Cricetulus griseus: one gene and its partners. The protein of the gene in region 2 purifies or fractionates together with the protein of the main gene of each other region. This does not show direct contact. Links are inferred from orthologs where the notes say so. Each region holds a gene or a part of one and is shown on either strand. Other genes may lie near its edges. The genes, in order: Asap1, Arhgap12 and tight junction protein ZO-2.

Region 1 (3,647 bases), on a different chromosome or scaffold from region 2:
CCATAGTCAGCCAGCACCATCGCTGTGCCCAGGGTGGTGAGTCCATCCATAGTCAACCAGCACCATCCCTGTTCCCTGGGTGGAGAGTCCATAGTCAGCCGGCACCATCGCTGTGCCCAGGTTGGTGAGTCCATCCATAGTCAGCTGGCACCATCGCTGTGCCCAGGGTGGTGAGTCCATCCATAGTCATAGCAGCCAGGAAGCAGATCAAGCAAGAAGTGACCAAGGAGAGGCTCTACCGTCCACAGACAACACGCTGCAGCCACCCACTACCTCAGGTTAGCCCCTTCTACCAGTTCATCCTACCATGAACCCACAGGTGCATCCAGCCATCAGTGAGGCCAGTGCCCTCATGGCCTGGTCAGTAGCGTGTTACTGTCACTGCCTAGACACCAAGCCTTCAACACATGAGTCTGAAGGGGGATAGTTTCAAATACAAACCTTAGCAACAGATGTATTGGAATTCCTGTTTGCATAAGGAACTTGAAAGTAACTGGGAGACTGATAAAGTGTGCAGTCTGGCCGAGGAGCAGACATGGGACTTGTTGGTAAACACTCTCTGATACACTTCCACTGTACTTTTGAGCCCCATAAATCAATTTATTTAAAAAAAAAAAAAAAACTGAGCTTATAGTTTAACAGGAAGAGAAGAACTAGGAACGAGGAACTATGAGCTCAGTGGCAAAGGCACCAGATTCCACCCCAGTACCTGAAAAAGAATTAGAGGGAGAGCTCTCCAGATTGAATCCAGTGCCTTGCACATGCTAAAAAGTCTGCACCTCAGCCCCTAAGGGCTATGGGTAAATAGGAAGGAAGGCTAATCTTATTCACTGGTTGCGGAGGCTCTGTGAAGGGAGAGAGGACACCAGCCTAAGTATTTGGCCAAGGCTTCCATGGATACCAAATTCACACGAGTATTAAAATCTTCACAGGGCACACAGTCAGTCTGAAATTAGGAAGTTAGGCCTCCCGGGAGGCCTCTTGGCAGCAGTGGTCTTTTGCTGAATTCTGCACGTGCTTGCAGTGGGCTCACTCTATGCTGCATAGAAACCTCGATGCCTTGAGTCTCGCCAGAAGGCAGACACTGCCCAAGAAGTCAAACGGGTGGTTACACAATCACAGTTGTGTGGAGTGTGAGCACCCACGCCGGGCAACTAATAGCTGCCCGTAAACTCCATTTCCAGGAGGTCCAGGACCCTCTTCTGACCTTCTCAGGAACCAGCAAGCACACACATGAAGCATATAAACTCGGGCATACATACATGTAAATTCAAAATCAGTATATGAATCTCTAATGTGCCAGTGAGTAGATGTCTCCATTTTCAAATAAAAACCCGAAGCTCACAGTTTAAATACTTTCCCCAATGCCACATAACTGGTACACTGTAGAATCTGAGCCCAAACTTCCCTAGTGGGAAACTAGGGGGACTGACAGAAGGCTTCTAGGGTTTCAGGTGATGTCACCTGACCCCGGTTCTTTCTCCCTGGCTCTCATCTGTTTTTCTCTGAGCTGACTTCCATCTCAGTCTCCCTCTGTAGGTGACAGAGGGACTCTGGGCTCTTGGGGCCCTCTTCTCAACCTTGGGGCCAGGAGGTAGGCCCAGTCTCCCAGAATTGCTTCAGGCTCCATGGGGAGGGTGACTAGACACAGGCCTGGTGTCCCCAGCTCCTGCTTTTAAAGGGCATCTGTACAGGGAGGTCAACTCTTCTTTGTCCTTGTAACACTCCCAGTTCTGCCCGTGAGGTTGGTTTAATGACAACCTTTCTGAGGTTCAATTTTTCACCTATATGATAGGGGTTAGAGCAGAAAAATAAAACCGATTCTTCAGGAAGCTCTGCAAACTTTTGTCTCTGCTTTTCAAATCTTGCCACGTAAGTTGTTAATTTGATGTATTCATAGCATGTAGAAAAGAAATCAGCTATGATCTTTGTGCCCATTAATTTTGCCATTTTACGTAATACCTACACATATCAGCAAATAGCCGTTTCCTTGTTCTGTCTCCCTTGGACTTGGTCTGAAGCCTGGTTGGTTGTTTGGGAAGAAGCCCAGCTGATGAAGGGAAGGGGGAGAAGAAATGTCTTCAGCCCTTGTAAAGCAGAAATGCCCTGACCATTGTTCTTCTCAGGACCGCACGGAAAGAGTATATCACTGCAAAGTACGTGGACCACCGGTTCTCCAGGAAGGCCTGTGCCTCCTCCTCAGCCAAGCTGAGCGAACTGCTCGAGGCCATCAAGTCCAGGGACTTACTTGCACTAATCCAAGTCTATGCAGAGGGGGTGGAGCTAATGGAGCCACTGCTGGAAGCTGGGCAGGTAAGAAGCCCAAGTCATGGTCAAAAAGCAGAAAAGGGCACGTGGTGGCACACTTCTGTAAGCTCAGCTCTTGGAGTCAGGTGACAGGGGTTAGAGCAAGTCTGAGGCACTCCCTGGGCTGCACAGCTGAGATCCTGTCTCAGACAGCAAAAAGAAATCAGGGAGGGAGGAAGGAAGGAAGGAAGGAAGGAAGGAAGGAAGGAAGGAAGGAAGGAAGGAAGGAAGGAAGGAAGGGCGTTTAAATAAGGGATCACACTTCTCTGACACAGTTTAATGCGACGCGTGTATATTAGCTGAATGTGTCTAATGAGTGGAGAGTGGTGGGAGTGCTCCTGGTAATTGCTTCAGGTTGCAGACTGATCACGGCGTCTCTGTCCACCCTTCCTTCTCAGGAGCTCGGGGAGACAGCCCTTCACCTTGCCGTCAGGACCGCAGACCAGACGTCTCTCCATCTGGTTGATTTCCTTGTACAGAACTGGTATGGCTTTTGTTTTCTCACTGAATGAGCAGAGAACGATTTACTAGCACAGACCAGTCCTGTTGGGGACCGACACCAGCGCTCACAAGAGTGCTCTGTGGTCAGCCGGTTAAAAGGTCTTTTTACCAGGCCACGCGAGCTCAGTTGCAGCCCCTGATCTCTGCCATTTCGGTCACAGCAACCAGAGACCGCAACTTGCAAATGAGTTAGTGAAGCTGTGTACTAGCAAATCTTGATTTATTATGAGCCACACATGGCTCACTAGCTCCAGTTGGCCAACCCGTGGCCTTAATCAACAGGAATTCTTAGCAGCTCAGGTCAGTTATACTTGGGGGTTTTCATTGTCTTTGGTTGATATGAAGCAGCCATGGCCAGTTCGAGTGAAGGACACACTGATGGGCGTATAGGGCAGAACACTGGGAGTTTGCGGCTGCTGACACTAACTGGGCCATTCCATAAGCAACAGAGCTTATCCTGAGAGCAGCAACGAGACAGGAAAGTTGAACTCACATAGGCCAAACTGGGTAAAGTATGGCCTCCAGAGAGTGCCCGCTTATGCTCCAACCCCAGTCTGGAAACTGGGTTAGGGAGCACCGCAGCCTCTACCGGCCTCACACTGTTCATCTGCAAGATAGAAGCTACTCTACCGATAGTCCCTTGTGAGGTGACTGTGAAGACTAAATGAGGCACTACATACAAAAGCTAAGTGATGGCTGGGCATGGAGGCAAAGGCAGGTGGATGTCTGCACTTAAAGCCAGCCAGTCTACATTGTGAGTTCCAGGCAGCCAGGACTGTAGTGAAAGCAAAGCTAAGCAGCAGTCAACAGTGTCTGTCCCACAGTAGACAGTCAGTCCA
Region 2 (3,647 bases):
TTTCCAATTACGTTTTCTAATTGTTTATTGAATTGAGAGTGATTAGATTGTCATGTATCTCACTAGGACTATAAAAATGTAATTTAAAATTGTTTGGGAGCTAGAGAGGTGGCTCAGTGGTTAAAAACATTTGTTTGTGTTCCAGAGGAGTCGTTTGTTGTTCTGTCCTGTGTGTGTTGTGCATCATATCCCCTCCCCCCCCCCCCCCCCACGCGCCCAAAACACGGGGCGGCCCACAACAGATGTAACCCCAGCTTCAGGGAGTCTGATACCTCCTTCTAGCATCATGTAGCATACATTCACATACACAGAACACAGAAATAAATCTTTGCTTAATTATCTAAAATCTTGGAATTTTAGAGCAAAAGGAAACCTTAGTAGCTTAAGTCCATCTTTTCTTTATGGGTTAAATATTTCACTTTTGGATAGATGAAGTGGTCTTACTTAGTGCTGTACAACCTTCTAGTCAGCAGATCTTGAATAGAGCCTACAGCTGTCAGTTAATTGACTATTGCTTTTAAGGAGGGAATCTGTCAGACACACTTTGGATTCTGTGTGAAGCTACTTACATTTTCAATCTGCCTGAGATTATTAAATCATAGCATTTGTGTCCATGTTTTTATATATTTTCCTTTAACATTTCTTGGTCATTTTCTTGTGTTGTTTTGAAATACTAACTTGCTCATTTATTGCTGACAATTAGACCATGAGCGTTCTGGACAAAGGTTGTATCAGAGAGCTACACCCTCAGCTCTTGATATTTTCCCCACGTTTTGAAATACATTAGTATAGTTATTTATATAAGTCTCTTAATGTCATTTCAATTTGTAAATGGCATGACATTTTAAACATGAGCTTTAAATTTTATTTTACAGGCAACCACACCCCCTAGTCAAGGAAGACCAGACTCTCCAGTCTATGCTAACCTGCAGGAACTGAAAATATCACAGTCAGCTCTCCCTCCACTTCCTGGGAGCCCAGCAATTCAAGTTAATGGAGAATGGGAAACTCACAAAGACAGTTCAGGCCGTTGCTACTACTATAACCGTGCAACCCAGGAGCGAACCTGGAAACCACCCCGATGGGCTCGGGATACTGGCACAAACCGAGATTTCCAGAGCCCAGGAGAGCTAGAGGTATGAGTAAATCATAGCCAACCAGTAAGGCACCCAGTTTTTTCTTCATTATTGAGATATGTAAGAAAGGGCTTGTTTTCTTGGTGTCAGTATGGTAGAGCAATTTATCTCTAGATACCAAGTATTTTCTCAAGCTTCTTTCTAACCTCTAACTGTTGTGCAGATGCTGGATTTAAAGAGCACTTGCTGCTTCTTGGGCTGGGTTAGAACTGTCCTTAGCCCTCTCTTCTCTTTACTGCATCAGGAGGCACAAGCACAGCAGATGTGGGCACTTGATGCTTCCAGCACTTGGGGCATGGGGCCTGAAAATCAGTGTCAAGGCCAGTCCTGGCTTCATAGCAAGTTTGAGGCTGGCCCATCTCAATAGCTCCCTCACCACCAAAAGGATGCTTATTTCATAAATCAATAAAAAAGAAAGAATGTAGGTGGCTAGACCTAGCCAGAGAAGTAAAAACAAAGATACTTAACTTGCCAAAGCAGTCACCTTCTTTTCTTTGTTAGTTTTCTGCCGATGTCAAATTCCTTCAAGTTTTTCTGTCAGTCGGATACAAGGTGACCTTTTAATTCTGGTTAAGGGAAGTAATGATAATTCCCTTGCTGTGGTTGGGTTAGTCAAGTGAGATAATTCCCTTACAACCCTTTTCTCCTAGAGTTAGATGACTGTTCTTTCTCCTGCTTTCCTCTCCATTGCTACAGGTGCTTAGGGAGACTTGACATTTTAATGAAGTACTCTGCTTTTGTAACTTAGGAGTGTAGGTAAAAGGTGGGTAGGCTTGGTGGGATGCAGTGAAGTCCTGTCATTTTGAGCTGGGTCACCCACAGAACATCAAGTCTCACAGGAAGCAGCTAGCTCCACAGATAAGTTCAGAGCTGCAGCAAGGAGCTGGGTCACCTGTCCTGCATTTAGCAGGATTTAAGAGCTTTGTAGCTAGTCTTCCTCTTCTTGTCCTACTTTTCAGTTGGCTATTCATAGTTCTCTTTGATGGTGACTTGCACTTTTAATGTTCACGAATGAGAATAAAAATAGAAAAACCATAGCAAAAATGTTCATCTATACTGAGAAAGTTAGGAAACTTTTGTCTGGATTACAGCGCTAGAAAGATTTTTTTGAAAATAAACCATCTTATATATCAATAGTGAAATCTTTATAATTATTAAGGAAAGGTTAAATTAGAGATTAATAGAACAATTTAGATATACACAGGAAATTTCTATGTATTTCTTAGCTTTCTAATTATGTAAATGAATGTCTATCAGGTCTCAACTTACACTTTCGGCACAGCAGTGATATTTTCAGTTTCTGGAGCACATCTTTTTATCACTTCTCTAGAAAGGTGCACATGGAGGAAAAAATGAGACCGTGTGTCTGAAAATGTCCTGTTCTGCTTTTGTATTTAATTAATCAAAGGCTTGAGTATAGAATTATAGGTTGGAAATGATTTTCTCTCACAATTACAAAGTGTTTTAAACTTCACTTGAATTGGCTATCTGGGTCAATTGTTTGTCTCCTGTTAGACCTGTTGCGTCTTTCCATGTGGATAGATTGGTCTCTATAGAAGTTTGCAGCTATTCTGCCTACAACATGGGGGCTTCCAGGGCATCAGGTCAGCATTCAATCCTCAGATGCTTCCTTAGTTTATGTATTCATGTCTTGACTGTGCTTTGCTTTGCAGCTGAGGATCTTATTGATTGCCCCCCCCCCCACACACACACACACACAGGGGTGGTGTGGTGGGTGGTGGTGGTGGTGTGGTGGTGGTGGTGGTGGTGGTGGTGTGGTGGTGTGGTGGAGGTAGAGGAGGAAGAGGAGGAGGAGGAGGAGGAGGAAGAGGAGGAGGAAGAGGAGGAGGAGGAGGACAGGCATGAAGCAAGGGATTCTGGCACCTTTAGCCCTCTTGTCTTTGGTACCCTGACCTTCACATCCCCCTTTTTCCCTTTGTTCTAATGCTGTTGGTTTCTGAGCCATCCCCAAATCCTGTCAAGTAAGTTTATTGTTCTCCTCTGCCCCTACTCCCTGTCTGCTAGTTTAGACTCTGCTCTCTTCTGCATGGCTAGTTGGGCGTTTGATCTGCAGACTCTGCTCTCCCTGTTCTTGTGGGTTTTCTATTGTTTTAGACAAAATTCCCTACAGTTATTTTTGTAAAATTTGAAAGGAAGTAAGTGGTCACACCTCTCTGTCTTACCTTAGAGCAGTGGTTATCAGCCTTCCTAATAGGTCCTTTAATGCAGTTCCTCATGTTGTGGGGACCCCCAACCATAAAATTGTTTTCAACCCTAACACCATTTTTGTTGCTATTTCATAGGTGTAATTTGCTACTGTTATGAATCATAATGTAAATATCTGATAGGCAGGATAGCTAATATGTGACCCCAAAGGGTTGAGAACCACAGCTTTAGAAGCTTATCTGGTGGTTTTCTTAGAACAATGGTTCTTACCTGGTGACACTGCTTTGCAGAAAAATGTGCTTTCCAGGACCTTGGCGGTATTTGTAGACTGATTATCACAATGAG
Region 3 (4,202 bases), about 170 Mb from region 2:
TTGGGAGATGTTGAAAGGTTGAGTGGTTATTAGTCCTTCCCAATTCCATAGCTGCCCTATGCACCCACACTTCAAGCCACTGCCCAACCAAAGTGGAATGCCTTTTTTCCCCCCAAGGATTGTATTTATTTATTAAGAATACAGTATTCTCCATGTATATCTGCACACCAGAAGAGGGCACCAGATCTCAATATAAAAGGCTGTGAGCCACCATGTGGTTGCTGGGAATTGAACTCAGGACCTCTGGAAGAGCAGTCAATGCTCTTAACCTCTGGGCCCCTTATTTTATTTTCAGCCCTCGGAAAGTCTTCTTAAACAACTTATATTGTACACAAAGCTACAATGACCTAAAGTGACCCCCACCCCCTACTTCAAGGATCTGTCTCCTTCAAAGACAACCTTTTAAGGAGAGAGAACCTTGTGAAAAGAAAATGGTGGAAATCTTGCCATCTCCCAAGCACTTATATGTATTTTGTCAGAGTGCTCACTCCGCACCTAGATATCTGGTTAGCCATGATCTGCTGTCAATGTGCAAGGAACTAGATCAAGGGTTAAGTAAATGTAGGCATAAGTCACTGCAAATGAATTCCCCCGAGGGCAATGAGATGAATCTGGTCGTGTTCCTAAGCAAGCTTCATAAATAGTACCTTTTACTATATAGGGAGTAGAGAGGAGTGTTTGCTAGGAGAACAGCTCTCAGGCCTCTTAGGAGAATCGGACCACTACTAGTACATTAGGAGTTTCTGTGATTCCCACTCCCAAAGTTCTGTTACTGACATTCAAGGTCTCCCCTCCAAAGAGATTTGTACAACACTTTCTATGTCTCAGATTTTTCATTGGCAACTATCTGGCACCTCCTACCTACACTTCTAGACTTCAACTCCTGTATCAACCCAAATCCTTCATTGAAAACCCCACACTTAAATTTTGGGACCAATGACCACTATATACCTAGCTACCCAATCTATGCCAGTGTACTGTGAGGTGGATGCATTCCCAGCAATTCCCTACAGTGGCTGACATCAGGAAGTATCTGTTCATGTGTTCTTTCCTTCCTGAAAGAATTCCCGAAAGGAATGCAGGCAGAGAGGACAATCTCACTCTTTGTTACAGAGTGTGCATCTATATTAAACATTCCCTCCTTCGGTACCAGGAATCCTGTAAAGCCAGATCCATCTAAAGCAGTCTACCATGCTGGTGTCACTAAACTCCTACAAGCAGAAATCCAGTCTCAGTCAATTCTGTAGCTCTTCCAAGTGACTGGCACCAACTAGGCGCTCATCAAATGTTAGCTTGGTGGTACTAAAAAGCTGCCACTGGAGATACCACTCCAAAATATGCTTGAGGTCCTGAATTCAGTCTCCAGCACCACACACCCACAGGAGAGACAATCACTCACACTCACACACACACACACACACACACACACACACACACACACAGTTGTAGGAGAATGTGAAAAGGAAAAAACTCTCCCTTTTATCAATCTTTCCAAGAAGCTATGAGAGGGCAGGGGACAAAACTCAAAGCCAGTTACCTTGGCTAACGCTCCCTCCCTTCCTCTCATCTGCTATAACAGCACCCTGTCCATACTTCTAAATAGCACTATTGGTCTCTTTACTCCTTGCTCGTTTCCCTAACAAAACTGGAGATGTGCATTCCCCACATCAAAGCAATATTATTCAAGAAAATGGAAATTAAGGGGCACTTGTCCTCAAATGCAATTACTACTTACTAATTTCTCAGCTAAAACTACTTTCTTCCCAGGTGAGCCTGGCAGGGCAACTCTCCTGGGAGGATAGATAGACCTGTTTTTTGTAAGGGGTTGTGGGCACAGCCAACAGACCACCTAGTAAGCTGTGAGGAGGTCTCTCCCTCTCTCCTAGGATTCAGCAGTGAAGTCAGGGAGTGTACAGTGCAGGGCAGTTTCTGGGAGGGGATGACTCTTCCCTGGGAACCTCAGGAAAGCCACAACCATTATTACTCAGGTCAGACAGTCGCCAGAAAAGCAACTCAGCCTGAGAACTAAAGCTAAAACAGAAGGGAAGGCTGTATTCCATTACTGAGTCCTGGCAGGTTCCCTCCCAAGTTCTTCACATTTCAAGAATGTGAAAAAGCCTGAGGTCGAAATCCCTGATTATTTATACCTTAAAATAAACTACCGTGTAAAAGCGGAAACCTGACAAATGGAGACATAAAATAAAAGGTACTGATGACAGGTAAGATACTCCCACAATACAAACCATTCATCATTTCTTTCTGGGGTTTCTTCAGAAAACCCATCTCCATTCCCTACTGCAAAAGAAGTTGTACTGCAGAGGCAGCTGACTAAAAAGGAAAGTGAGGATTTGGGTACCCAAGAGTCCTCGGTTTCTCTCAGTCCGTGGCTAGAACCTCTGCATTAAGTTAGAAAGAGGGCACACTCAGGCGTCCAGTCGGCGACCACAGGCACAGAAAGTCTTGGGGACCGACACCAGGGCACTGGGCTCCACACTTTCCCCTACTGGCGATTTCATCTCAAAGCCAAGTGATTCAGAGAGGCCACAAGCCATCAGCGCCGTGCTAGCAATCCTCGCCTTTCTTGCGCCCGGGTCCCCCGAGGAGGACCCTACAGCCCAGAGAGACCAAACCCGGGCACAGAGGGGAGCCACGCGGAGCCCACCCGCTCCCACGCAGCCGCTCGCCGCCAGGTCCGGGAGGAAACTTACGCGCAGCCAGCCCGACAGCTCCCGCCGCGGCGGAAACCCGCGGTCTCCCCGCACCGGCATCTTGCGCGCTCTTCCCGCACGTCCTCCTCGCCGCGGCTCAGAACCACAAGCTGCAGTGGCGGCCCGTACGCCACCACGGGGAGCCTCCCCTTTGTCCCTCCTCCCGCGGCGCAGCCGGCCCGCCCCGCGCCTAGCTGCGCCCACGCCGGCCGCCCGGCCGGGGAAACTCCAACGGCCGCTACCACCCTCGCCGCCGGGGGATGGCTCGCCGGCGCCGCGCCCGAGACCCCGCGGCGGGCAGCGTCATGCGCCCGGACTCCCGGCCGGCGACAGAGGACCTGGGGCAGTAGGAGGTCCCCGATTGCGCGCGTCCCACCGGCACCCCCGCCTCGCTGTCCGGATGGTTCGCTCCACCGCGCGCTTAAGAGCCAGGCAGGTCCGGCCGAGCGCGCGCCCGGGGAAGTGCTGCGCGTTGGCGAGGCTGGCCCGCGGCCGCCGATGTCCCAGAGGTCGCGCGGCGTCCTGATGGACACCTTTTTTTTAGAGAAAGGATCGCGGGGCTTCTCACAGGCAGCGCTTGTGTTCTCTTCCAGAGAACCACTGGGGAAACCCCGAAGCTTTGCGTCGGAAGTGGCCCGCGGGGTCAGCCGGCACAGACAAGTTGTTGCTCCCCAAATTTTGCAGCTCCACTGCTGACCCAGATTCCAAAGGTACAAAGGTCATAGAATTAAATAGTAAAGCGGAACTTTTTAGGCAATGCCGGCCAGGTAACCTCCTTGGCATATCGCCAGCAACTCCAATAAAGAGATTGAAATCACTCTCCACAAGGGTGATGATCCGACAGGATTTATTCAGTCCCCCACCATGCAAGAATCGTGCGCTTTAAACAAACTGTCCTATTGTAAGAGCACATCAAGTATTTAAAATCAAAAGCTGATACACTGATTAAACACGTGATTTGGAGTTAGAGGACAAAGCGTTGCCCACCGCTGTTCCTCCCCTAAATTGGAGGGCAAACTCCAGCCTAGGCCCATAAATTTGATAGGTAAAAAGTAAGAAAGGTCTGAGAGCCCCATGACGAGATCCAGATGCCGGCGGGCTCTCTGAGAAGTGGCTTCACTTCCTGTCTAATCAGGACAAGTTTGGCAGTATATGTGGAAAAACAAGTCTTGCAGATGCTGCCCTCAAAGCGTTATGCTGCTGGCCTCCTTTGGAGTAGGAAGTCCACGCCTCTGAGTAAGTGCTGTGAGTAACATTTCCCACTTTATCTCGTCTCCAGTGGGACGCGGGCTGGTCTTCCCGACCTGCGCGTTGTATTACGCTCCTGATCTAAGCACCTGTTTAAAAATGGTTCCCCAAATTAGGTGGTGCCGCCTTACAGTGGTAATGACTGCACTTGTGAGTCAGTCACACCTTATTTTCACGAGCTTATTACCTCAACAAAGCATCAACAAAGGAAGAAAGGGTCCGGAACGCAGCAATTACACCTGTTAA

The links.
Region 1: the proteins of Arhgap12 (region 2) and Asap1 purify together in Homo sapiens (co-immunoprecipitation; 3 studies listed by BioGRID and IntAct, with this or other methods). This does not show direct contact. The link is inferred for Cricetulus griseus from reciprocal best matches to the Homo sapiens genes ARHGAP12 and ASAP1.
Region 3: the proteins of Arhgap12 (region 2) and tight junction protein ZO-2 purify together in Homo sapiens (co-immunoprecipitation; 3 studies listed by BioGRID and IntAct, with this or other methods). This does not show direct contact. The link is inferred for Cricetulus griseus from reciprocal best matches to the Homo sapiens genes ARHGAP12 and TJP2.

What each region holds. Positions count from the first base shown.
Region 1 is NC_048603.1:24,006,707-24,010,353, forward strand, and holds part of Asap1 (arf-GAP with SH3 domain, ANK repeat and PH domain-containing protein 1), read left to right. Parts: intron 1-2,126; coding exon 2,127-2,313; intron 2,314-2,705; coding exon 2,706-2,791; intron 2,792-3,647. UniProt on the Homo sapiens protein: Possesses phosphatidylinositol 4,5-bisphosphate-dependent GTPase-activating protein activity for ARF1 (ADP ribosylation factor 1) and ARF5 and a lesser activity towards ARF6.
Region 2 is NC_048596.1:208,385,822-208,389,468, forward strand, and holds part of Arhgap12 (rho GTPase-activating protein 12), read left to right. Parts: intron 1-875; coding exon 876-1,136; intron 1,137-3,647. UniProt on the Homo sapiens protein: GTPase activator for the Rho-type GTPases by converting them to an inactive GDP-bound state.
Region 3 is NC_048596.1:37,108,198-37,112,399, reverse strand, and holds the start of tight junction protein ZO-2, read right to left. Parts: upstream 2,902-4,202; 5' UTR 2,769-2,901; coding exon 2,709-2,768; intron 1-2,708. UniProt on the Homo sapiens protein: Plays a role in tight junctions and adherens junctions. Acts as a positive regulator of RANKL-induced osteoclast differentiation, potentially via mediating downstream transcriptional activity.